Linked DNA regions of Cricetulus griseus. The main gene of each other region encodes a partner of the protein of the gene in region 3 in a complex. Links are inferred from orthologs where the notes say so. Each region holds a gene or a part of one and is shown on either strand. Other genes may lie near its edges.

The links.
Region 1: the proteins of Plxna2 (region 3) and Sema6a are in contact, whole or in part, in a crystal structure (PDB 3AL8), measured with the Mus musculus proteins. The link is inferred for Cricetulus griseus from reciprocal best matches to the Homo sapiens genes PLXNA2 and SEMA6A. Residues at the interface, in NP_032908.2 of Mus musculus: Ala93, Cys94, Tyr95, Pro96, Lys155, Gln192, Asp193, Tyr194, Asp220, Phe221, Val222, Pro229, Ser230, Asp231, Leu386, Lys389, Val391, Thr394, Lys395, Ala396, Pro397, Val398, Leu407, Asp408, Ile409, Asn410, Gln411; in NP_061214.2 of Mus musculus: Arg108, Met109, Lys110, Gly111, Met162, Ala163, Thr188, Phe190, Leu191, Ile193, Tyr198, Thr206, Arg208, His212, Asp213, Ser214, Glu219, Gln266, Arg267, Glu270, Lys271, Lys393.
Region 2: the proteins of Plxna2 (region 3) and Nrp1 are in contact, whole or in part, in a crystal structure (PDB 4GZA), measured with the Mus musculus proteins. The link is inferred for Cricetulus griseus from reciprocal best matches to the Homo sapiens genes PLXNA2 and NRP1. Residues at the interface, in NP_032908.2 of Mus musculus: Asp273, Leu274, Phe275, Glu306, Lys341, Gly342, Gln343, Lys344, Gln345, His348, Pro350; in NP_032763.2 of Mus musculus: Glu78, Arg80, Asp81, Lys83, Tyr84, Asp126, Tyr127, Glu128, Thr129.

The regions. Positions count from the first base shown.
Region 1 is NC_048595.1:190,732,557-190,736,236, forward strand, and holds the start of Sema6a (semaphorin-6A), read left to right. Parts: upstream 1-758; 5' UTR 759-1,397; intron 1,398-3,680. UniProt on the Homo sapiens protein: Cell surface receptor for PLXNA2 that plays an important role in cell-cell signaling. Required for normal granule cell migration in the developing cerebellum.
Region 2 is NC_048596.1:205,238,308-205,241,955, forward strand, and holds part of Nrp1 (neuropilin-1), read left to right. Parts: intron 1-676; coding exon 677-832; intron 833-2,943; coding exon 2,944-3,110; intron 3,111-3,648. UniProt on the Homo sapiens protein: Cell-surface receptor involved in the development of the cardiovascular system, in angiogenesis, in the formation of certain neuronal circuits and in organogenesis outside the nervous system. Mediates the chemorepulsant activity of semaphorins.
Region 3 is NC_048598.1:480,006-483,653, forward strand, and holds part of Plxna2 (plexin-A2), read right to left. Parts: intron 3,032-3,648; coding exon 2,792-3,031; intron 2,362-2,791; coding exon 2,218-2,361; intron 1,897-2,217; coding exon 1,662-1,896; intron 1-1,661. UniProt on the Homo sapiens protein: Coreceptor for SEMA3A and SEMA6A. Necessary for signaling by SEMA6A and class 3 semaphorins and subsequent remodeling of the cytoskeleton. Plays a role in axon guidance, invasive growth and cell migration.

The DNA.
Region 1 (3,680 bases), on a different chromosome or scaffold from region 3:
AACTAAGACGTTTTCAAGCCGATCGCGGTCGTTAACCACGTTCTCAGCACCGTAGTTTATATGTTTATTTAACGTGTGCTATAAACGAGTGCGTGCGAGAAACTAATTTTAGCCACACAGTCTTGTATCCAATTCATCCGGGCAGGAAGAAGGTCCATCACTTCCAGAATCTACCTCCTGATACAGTAATCAGAAATAGAAAGGTTCGCCGTCCCTTTAAAACTTTTCCATTTAAGAAAATCGATGGACAAACTCTTTCTTGTAACTCGCTCCTCACTGTCTATTTTTATTTATTTTTCTGATTTGGCAGGGCTCAGCAATGCTGTCTGGGCTTTCTTTTCTTTTTCTTCTCTCCCCCCACCCTCTTTTTTCCCCCTTCTCTTGCTAGAGCAGTTGTGGGGGTGGGGAGACGAGGGCTGAGGGCTGGGCTTCTCCTGGAGTCGCCCCTGCCGGGACCTCCTTGGTGCGCGCCCCGGGGCGGAGAATTGAGGTGGTTAGAAGCGGTGCTGGCGACTCAGTCCAAAGCTCTACCTGCAGCCACGCGGCGTCAAGTCTCCCTTTCCTTTGGCTTATTCGCACTGTCTCCATCCCTCTCCCTCCCTCTCGCACACACACCACAGCTCTCCTTCGGGTCGGAGACGCCAGCCCAGGGAGGCGGGGTTGCTGGAGGAGAGTCCTCTCTGTGTAATCCAGTCCGGGACTTGGCTCCGCCCGGAGCGTCGGCCTCTCCGGTGACACTGGAGTAGTGAGCCGCACGGGGTGAGGCTGCAGCCAACTCCGCTCCCCACGCACTCGGCTGCCTAGGCGCTCGGGACGCAGCACAGGCGCTTCTCCGCGGTGCCGACTGCCCGAGATGCCCGCCTAGGAGCGTGCGGCCGCGGCCAGCGTCGCCACACCCGGGACACTGAGCTCGGGGTTGCAGAGCCGGCCAGAACCCTGCACCTCTTCCTCAACCCCCACCCCGCCCCCCGCCCTGAAATGACTAGTTAATGGGCGCTGGCACCGCTGAGGGGGCTCAGAAGTGAATCCAAGTGGAATTCGGATTTGGAAAAGAGTTTCTTGAACATTTGCCCTGGTTCTCGCTGGCTTTTCTTCCTCTGTTTTTTTTTTCCTTTTTCTTTTCTTTTCCCTTTTTCAATTTTTTTTTTTTTGCCTTCCCCTCCCGTCCTCTTCTGCCATTGGAGATGAACACAGCTCGCTTGCATCCTAGAAAGTAATCGCCGTGACTGTTGCCCCCAAAGAGACAAGCACACATGTAGGAATGACAAAGGCTTGCGAAGGAAAGAGCGCAGCTCAAGGCCCAGAGAGATCTTCTCGATAATGGATTACTAAATGGGATACACGCCGTGCCAGTCCGCTCCGAGCCGCGGCCGCCTGCCCGTCGATGCACCGAAAAGGTATGGCCCTAGCGTCCCTGAGCGCCCCACCTCCTGGATCCGGGCTAGGGCGAGGGTCCTGGGGTTACCCCAGGTGCGCGTTGTGGGCTTTGTAGAGCCTGTGTTGTATTTGGTCTTATGTCTCTGTCTCCCGAACGTTGTCCCTTCCTGGGGGAGTAGCCCCAAGCCCTGCCTGCAGCTCTTTTCAGTCCTGAGCCCCAGAGACTCCGGGCTCCATGTCAGGAGCTTCCCCACCCGATCGCACACAAGACCGGCGCCGCCCCGGACCTAGACCAAACGGATGGCTGTCCTGCCCAGCGGTGTGTGTGTGTGTGTGTGTGTGTGTGTGTGTGTGTGTGTGTGTGTGTGTGTATGACCCGAGGCTAAGAGCTCACTCTTGGGCCAGTAGGGAGGAGAGTGGCCCTGGAGGGTGGGATTTTCAAAAGCGCCGGGTCCTGGTGTCGAATGCTGGGGAAGGGAAGGGGTCCTGCCCTCGAGGGCCGGAGAGGCTTGGGGAGTACAAAGCTGTTTGTGTCCAGCCACAGGTTTTGGTTCTGGTGTGGGAGAAATGGTTGTGCGGGGACGGTGGAGAAGAGATGAGGATCTTTTGTTATCAGTGTGGGGTCTGGGCTGGGCTCCGTGGAGTGCGTGAAACTTGTAATGGCCCTGAGCATCTGCGCGCCCTCTCTCTTGGTGGGATCCACTCTTCAGTCGCCGCTGGCACCAGAGAGAGGTTCCTGGCTTTGTTAGCTGGAGTAAGTGCCTAGGAGCGGTGTCTTGGTATGGCGCGGCGCCCCCGCCCTAGGTCCTGTCCCCTGCCTCAGCTCCCACCCGAGCGAACAGGGCACCATTTGTCGCAGCTGCGTCTCTCTCAAGCACTGAGCTATCCACGCTAAGGCTGGCCCCTGCTGCGCCTTCCTCCAAGACCTGTGCTGTCCCTCTCGAGAAAAGATGTACCCCGGGAGAGAGAAGGGTGGGGAGACCTGGCAAGAAATAGCACTGGGCTTGCCACTCTGATGAAAGCTCTGCCGGGCTGCAGATTGTTGGGTGTCCTGTCTGCTTGTTGTGTCCTGGAGCTCTATCTCTGGAGCTGTGGGGCGCCCGAAGCAAGCTGGGCAGTTCCCTGTTAGTGACCCTACTGGGTGGGCAGTGTCACTTTTACCCATCGCTTCGTTTTTCTCAGCTCCCCACGGAGGGAGACGGTATAGACCAGGATCCTGAGCAGTCAGTCTGCTGTCCGGATCGTGCGTGTGTCAGGAACGGAAACCGGACCCCGACATTTTTCCCGCTCGCTCGCCGCCCCTTTCCCAGCGCCTCCTCCCCTTTACAGTGCAGGGCCCCGTACCCAGCGCTTCTGGAAAGTTTCTGTGACAGCTAAAGACTGCTGGAACCACCAGACGAGGGCTCAGAGCGTTCAGTCTGACCCCGAGCTAATTGAGCGAATAACTGGGATGTGACTAGGAGCTAGATTGCCTGTCCACTGGAGAACAGCACCTTCTCTGGCCCGCTGCACTTGCTGTACTAGGATCTCAAGCAGATGGAGAAGGCCTGGGGGGCCGGGATTGGGACTGTCGAATTCGGGATGCTAATGTGATCTCAAGTGGCGGACAGAAGCTGCTGTGAGGGCATGTGTGGACACTGGCTCTGGCTCGCTGGCTCAGGAATCTCTAGCTCCAAGTGCAGCATCCTGTACCTCCTGCGCCAGTGGCAAGACATTGCAGCTCGCACATGTCCAGGGAGGAGAGGAGCAGGGCCAGGTGTTGGTGGAGTGGAGGAGGGAGGAACGATTGGAGGCGCTGTCCTCCTAGCCTGTGCGAGCTTTTCCAGCGGCGGCCTCCAGGCTGTGGGGAAGTAGGCAGTCCTGCCGGCAGTTCCGCCTCAGACTGTGCAGAACGATTGTGGCTGCCTTCTCGAGAGTGTGGTGACCAAGCACAGCCACAGAGGGATCGCTCCCTATTTACTCTGGATGAAATTCGAGTTACTACTGAATGGGATCCTTGAAAGACTTAAAATACAGGTGAACCTGGGGACACACTCACACACACACGCACGCGCAAACACACACACTGTATTCATAACTTTGCCATTTAATTCAGTTATAGTCTTCTATTGTGAATCTCAGAAAAAGCTGTCATTTAATGCCAATCTGCTCTGGTTTTTCATGCTTTTCTCGGGTAGGGAGGTCGAGTATCTTTGCCTTGTTTTTCCTTAATCCTGCTGATTTAGGCTTTCCTTCCTCTGGCGGACTTATATTTTGGCGTCAGATTCACCATCTGCTACTGTGATGGCAGGGGGTTAGTGGTT
Region 2 (3,648 bases), on a different chromosome or scaffold from region 3:
CCCTCGCTCTGGTGTATGTGTATATGTACCTGTGTGTATCATTTCTTACTAGTCATCCACTTTGCTTTTGTTTCATTTTGATTTTACATGTATGTGCATATGTTCTGTGTGTGTATGTATAACATGTGTTCTCATGTGTGTGAGTGACTGTGTGTTTATGGGTCCACAGGTACATGTGGAGATCAGAGGTTGACACTGAATGTCTTCCTCTATTGCAAACTTGTCTCTGTTTGCAATCTCTCATGGAATACAGAGATCACTCACCAACTTGTGCTTGGGATCTCTGCCTCTGCCTACTGACCTTTGGGCTTACAGCTGGGCTACCATACTACACCCTCCCTGTTTTGTGTGTAGACACTGGGGATTTGAACTCTGGTCTTTGTGGCATTGAGCCATCTCCCCAATGTGTTCCATTCCTGAGACGAACCAGGCTGGCTGGGGGGGGGGGGGTGCTATGATTGTGCCTGTGAACGCCTGGCTGAGCATCTTTCCAAATCCTCTCCAGTCCTCCAGTATGAGCTCTATTCACCCATTAGCCAGGAGAGATTTGTATTAGGCTACAACAGTCTTTGTGTTCTTCTGAGGTCTTCTGAGACTCATGCTTATAAATGGTTATTTTTGTATCTTCTGTAGAAGAAAGGACAGTCTGATATTCTCTGTATTTCTGCTTTTCCAGTTGGCCCTCACATTGGGCGCTACTGTGGGCAGAAAACACCTGGTCGGATCCGCTCATCTTCCGGCATTCTATCCATGGTCTTTTACACCGACAGCGCCATAGCAAAGGAAGGTTTCTCAGCCAACTACAGTGTGTTGCAGAGCAGCGTCTCTGAAGGTCAGTATGTATTCATCTCACAAAGCCCTATAGTAAACACTGCCCATTATTTCTCATACACCTGAGGCCACACAAAGCACTAAAGAAATGTTCTGTGAACTGTGGTGCCCACTGTTTATCTTTCTCTGGAATAAAAAAAAAAAACTTTCTGTGTGTGAGTGTCAATTGGAAAAATGTCATTTGGTGTATTTCCTCCATAAAATTATCTGTGAACCTCTGCAGTTAGGGAAGCGGAAAATGACTGAACACTACATGGAAACAATGAGGGGTGACTGGGAAGCTTCCCTGGCACCTCAAAGGCACAGGTGTCAGGAACCACAAAGCACAGTTCCAGGCAGAACCAGCTGGGGGTAGCTGATACACAGAGGGTTGTTGGCTGTAGGTGACCCTGGGGTCTCATTACCATTTTCTTACAAAGTTTTTTTTTTTTTAAAGTAGGATGTGTAAAAGAATGTTTTTATTCTTTTACATTTTAAGTCAATTAATTTATTATATGTATATGCGTGTGTTTGAGACAGACAGACAGACAGACAGACAGACAGACAGGCATCAGTTCTCTCCTTTCACCAAGTGGATTCTGGTGACAAAGGCTGTTACCTGCTGAGCCATCTCACCAACTATAATTTTTTTTTTTTGAGAACAGATTCTCACGTATACCAGGTTGGCCTAAAACTCACTGTATAGCCAAGGATGACCTTTAACTCCTGAGCCTCCTGCCTCTAACTCCCAAGTGCTGGGATTACAGGTGACCTGGACACAAAATATTAGGGTTAAACCTAGGACTTGGTACCTGCTAGGTAAGCATTAAACCTGCTGACCTAATCTGTAAAAGGAGAATATTTCAATTTGTCTTACATACCTTTCCAATAAAAAGAGTAATGTATTTTTAAAGACTTTATTAAAACGCTCAGGGCATGGTAAATAGCTCAGTGGTAGAATACTTGCCTGCAAAGCAGGAGTCCCTAGATTCAAGTTCCAGCATTGCAACCCCTCTGCACAACAGAGGAATGAAATGAAAAGAAAAATCACTGACTAAAGTTCATGTGGCTAGGGGTTCTTTTGAAGGCCAGGTGGAAAAAAAACCTGTGTCTCATTGCTTTTGCTGACCTGCATAGCCAAGCTGCTGTTGTTTTCTGCCCCATATCTGACTGGGAAATGAAAAGGAGAATGAAATCCAAAATGTGTTTACACTTAACTTATTTGGCTAGTCAAAAACTTATCTGTTAGGACGCAAATTTTAGAAAAATGTGAAATTTCTATTGCTGGACATACTGGTCAGCTTTCCATTGATATAACAGACATGAGATTTTCAACTTAAGGGAAAAGATTTTTTCTTTTCCCTTCTTTTTAATTTTTAATTAGTTTTATTTTGACACATGATCTCTGGCTTCCAACTCAGTGTGTAAGGATAGCAATGAACTTCTGAAGGTCAGAAGTTCAGGATGCTGGGATTACAGGTGGTATGCCCCACCACTTCAAATGACGAAGTGCTGGCATGCCACCTATGTGGCTCCATTCATGCTGCACAGGCACTCCATCACCAAACCGCATCCCTACCTCAGAGAGCATTTTGTCAACCTTAGCCCACATGGGAGTATTAAGAATAACTGTGCTGACATTCATAGTCTTACTTTTAAAGATCCATATTCAGGAAAACATAATTATAGGTGACATGTTCCAGTAATCCCATGTTGCATATTTTGCCAGGTTTTGTTAATGAACTCTGTTTCTCTCTCTCTCTCCTCTCTCTCGTCTATCGTGTGTGTGTGTGTGTGTGTGTGTGTGTGTGTGTGTGTGTGTGTGTGTGTGTGTGTGTGTAGGCCTGAATTTGACATCAAGCTGTGTGTCTTCCTCAGTCACTGTCCACCGTATGTGTTGAGACAGAATCTCCCAATGAATCTGGACTATGAATTGGGCAGACTGGCTACCCAGCAAGCCCCAGGGATCTGACTGGCAGTGTTGATATTCCAGGCCCAGCTTCCATTTACTTGGGTGGTAAGGACCAAATGCAGGTCCTAACACTGAATCATCTCCCCAGGCCATTTGTGAACTCCTTAGTTTGCCACATTAAATTTAAACTATGTTTTTGGCCCTTTATAATTTGTCTGCAGATTTCAAGTGTATGGAGGCTCTGGGCATGGAATCTGGAGAAATCCATTCCGACCAGATCACAGCATCCTCACAGTATGGCACCAACTGGTCTGTAGAGCGCTCCCGCCTAAACTACCCTGAAAATGGGTGGACTCCCGGACAGGACTCCTATCGGGAGTGGATCCAGGTAGGTGGAACAAGGCTGGGCACAGCTGGGCTGGCCTCTAGCAAGGCTGTCAAATAAAAATGGGTGCGATATCAAACACAGGAAAGAGCCCTGAACACAAATCAATCCATGAAAATGATCATACTCACACAGAGAGAGTAGCAGAGCTGGCCTCACTCAGGTGGCCCCCAGAAAACACTCTTTTCTTCTCAAGTCCTTTTCACTGCTTTTTCCAAGTCTGAGTAGATGCCTCACTTCCATCACAAATAGAAGAAGATAAGATGCCCCCCTCCGCAACGACTACACGTTCACTCCTATTCTGCCACAGTTCTATGTCATTGATAGAATATAGGAATTCTGTCTGTAGGGCTTGTTTGAGATATTTGCCTGCAAGTATTGGCTTTTTGGGTTGATTGGAGTAGAGCATGCAAAATACACATGTTCTGTGTAGCTAATTGAGGGCATCTGCTGGCTTGTATTCATGGACACGTATGGAATCCTCATATATGCATCTTCATTAGTGATTCTGTTGCTCCTGCTTTTACTAGGCTCTTATATC
Region 3 (3,648 bases):
GGTTGGGGAGGTGCAGTAAAAGTTTGAAGAGGTGGAACCTGGGGAAGATCTCAGGGGTTGGGGGTGTGCTTTAAGGGGATCATGGGACTCTGGATCTCCATCTTTACTTGGCTATGTACTTTAACCACTATGCAGCCTCAGCATAGGCCTACTAGCAACAGAACTGACTAATCGTACACAGAAAATTTCCAAGCTGAGACAAAATAACTGTTAAAAAATTGTGTGTGTGTGTGTGTGTGTGTGTGTGTGTGTGTGTGTGTGTGTGTGTGTGTGCGCGCGCGCGCAGGTGAACAGATATGTGACATCTTCAGAGACACTGTCCACTTCCTTTGAGACAGGGTTTCATTAGCTGGAGACCCTCCCGTTTCTGCTTTCTGAGCTGGAATTATAAGCACACACCACATGCCTGCCATATTTTTATGTGGGCTACAGGAATCATTATCAGGTCTTCATGCATGTGACTGAGCTGTCTCCCAGCCTGCCTCTTTTCTTTTTACTAAGTGATTACCTCCTAGGATTTGTGATAGCACATGGAATCTGGGTTAGGGTTAGGGTTAGGGTCTTCTATGCTTATCTGTAATTTTTTTTTTTACTTCTACCTTTGTAGAGGTGGCTAAAATATAGAGAAGAGAACATCATGATTTAGGCCCTTTGTAGGTGTCAGAGGCAAGAGGAGAACTGCTGGAGTTCAGCAAAGGTCAGAATAAGCAAACTGATCCTTTTCCCCTGGCAAGAAGATGACTGAGAAGTAAAAACCCTGAAGAGCCTTGGCTATCAAATGCTCATCCCACAGTCCAGGCAGTGAAGGGCTCCCAAGTGTCTCCCTGGCTTCCCAGGTTGGGCAATTCCTCTCCCCAGGCCTATATCCCACATGCCCCGCCCCCATGCACCTGTGGCCATGCCCAAACAAACATGGTCAGTGCCCCAGGTACCTAGTAAGATCTCTCCCTAACAGGAAGGTTCTGAGCCAACTCTTCCAGTACAATTTTTCCCCATTGTCCAACAGTTGCTTGCTAGTGAAAAGCCACATGCAGCAAAAGAAAAAAAAAATGTTTTGATTCCTAATTGAGATGTTTACCCAGACAGCCTGCCAGGTCCTCAGCCCGAAAGAATGCCAGGTATACTTGTCACTCTGTGGATGTGTCTGCGTGGGAGATGAGAGAAAACACAATCTCCACTCCTACACATATTCATACCCAAGGCTGCCAGCAAGCATGGCCTTTGGAACATTTAGTCTACAATAGTGATAGAAAACAAATCCTTGGAGATGATGGGCCAGGACAGAGGTGGGGCTCTCCTACTTTCCCTGCTGTGGCTTCCATATAGTGTAAAGGTATCTCTGTGAATATTAGCAAAGGGATAGACACTGGCAAATAAAGAATCTGGTCTGAGACAGTAAGGCCTGGCAAACTCGACTGTGATGGCACAGTAGTCCTGAGGGGGTGGGGCAGGTTGAATTGGGGTAGAGTGGGGACAGTGAATGATGTCAATGGACCCGTTTCCTCACTCGTGAGTCTCCCCCTAGGTCTGCTCTAACCCTGGGGACAGGGGAAGCTCCTGGGAAAGAATAGAATATAAAGGCTTGTGGGGAAAGGATCGGAATAAAGTCAGGAGGGTATTGAGATTAGTGAAAAAGGAAGTGAGGATATACTTGTACTCACCTTCCTTGCACTCCAGTGCTACCCTGGACTCCAGGTTGTCCATCTGCATTTGGAGCCGCTTGAGTGTGAGGTCATTTTCCCTAGACTTTCGTTTATAAGCGATGAGGACAATGATGACGATGATAAGGAGGAGGCTTCCACCAGCTGCAATGCTGATGATGGCTGGCAGGGTCAGCAAGCTGTCGGAGATGACACTCACCGAGCCAGGTGAGAACACCATCCCGCCCACGTGAACCTGTGCATTGTACATACAGACACATATACAGTGCACACAGGTGTAAAGCCCCAGCATGCTGTCATTATTCTACAGTATTACAGTGTGAAGAATGACAGGATAGACTCTAACATTACAGTTCATATTTGGATACTACACAGTTTCTACCTTGGCATCTGTCTTGCTATTTATGTGTTCCCAACTGCTATCTTTTTTGGTGTAGGACATGGAGATGAGGAAATATGGAGGTCATGAGTCAGGTAATGAGATGAAATGGAATCTTTCATCATGTTTGTATGTTAAGGCTGAGCAGAGGAAGGAGACAGAAGATGGTTCACTTACCATGACCTTGTGTTGTCCGGTGAGGTTGGGAGGTTCACAGAGTAGCTGTGTCTCAGATACTGTGACTGCACAAGGCGTCTCTCCAATCATTACTGTGTAGTTGAGTTTGGCCCCTCCAGAGGCAGGAGGGCAGAGATTTTTGCCCTGTAGAGAACAGGTGTCTTAATGAGAAGAATTGGCATAGGCAAGCAGAAATTAATTGCCTACTTAAAGAGATATAAAGGAGACAGGGTGGGGCAGCAAAGCAAAAACCAATAAATGCCTCCATGCTAGGTTTTTAAAGGATACTTCAACCAGCCACAGATTAGAGGAGACCAAACAAACAAACAAAAACAACAACAACAAAAAAGCAAAGAAAAGTGAAAAATGCAGTGGGGGATGTTTGGGGAAGGAGGAAAGGAAGAGGAGAAACAAAACTGGACAAATAAAGATGGAAGGAGGTCACATGGGATTTAAGGGTGGGGTGCAACAAAACTGGATGCTACCACCTGGAGATTTGGCCTCCTAAATCGGGAAGGGCCTACAGCACTCTCTCCCTACTATCCAGGCCCCTCCTCTCCATTGGTGTTCTTACCTTCAGGATGATGGGTGAGCCTGGCTTCTGATCCAAGATCCCAGTGGGGCTGAGCAGTTCAAAAGTTGGGTTGGGGTAGTAGATGAACTTGGTGTCATTATAGATGAGTAGGGACTGGACATTGTTAAAGAGAAATCCAAACTCATCTGGCCGTTCCACCGTGTCCAGGCCTGGACGGTAGTCACTGGTCAGAGAAGGTGCCAGACAGGTGAGGGTGGTTGTGTTTACCACTGTACACACCTAGGAGGCAGAAAGCATCATTCTGAGCACCAGGTGGGTGAAGGTGGGTCTCTCATCTCCTCTTACCCTCTGTTTGCTCGACTTCCTTCACTAGATGTGAGTCCTTCCAGACCAATGTGGTGAGGATGCCTTTAACCCCACTCATTTATTCATTAACACTGCGGTGAGCACCTGTTTTCTGGCAGACACTGGGCTGAGAGTCTGGTGCACAGAATGAAGTAGTCTCGAGGGACAGCTCTGGATTAATTAAACAAGCATTATAAGCTAGTCCACAGAGAGCCTGAAGCAGCATAGGGCACAATACTGTGAAATGCATGAATGGGAAGGACCAGATGTTCTGGAAAGTCTGTGAGTTTGCATGGCCTGAAGCAGCATTCATGAAGGATTTCCCTCAGTAGTAGTGAATGCTTTCATTTGAAGAATGGGAGGCTTACCTCAGCCAGAAAGGGGCAGTGCAGGAACAGTTTCAGGAAGAGAGGATAGCAATGAAAAGATCTGGGGTTGAGGATGTAAGAATGTTTGAAGGAAAGGACAGTTGCAGTGAGAGAGTCTGTGTGTGGTGGGGGTGGGGTGGAGTGTAGTATGTGGTGTGGAGCAGGAAGTGGTAAGATGAGCCT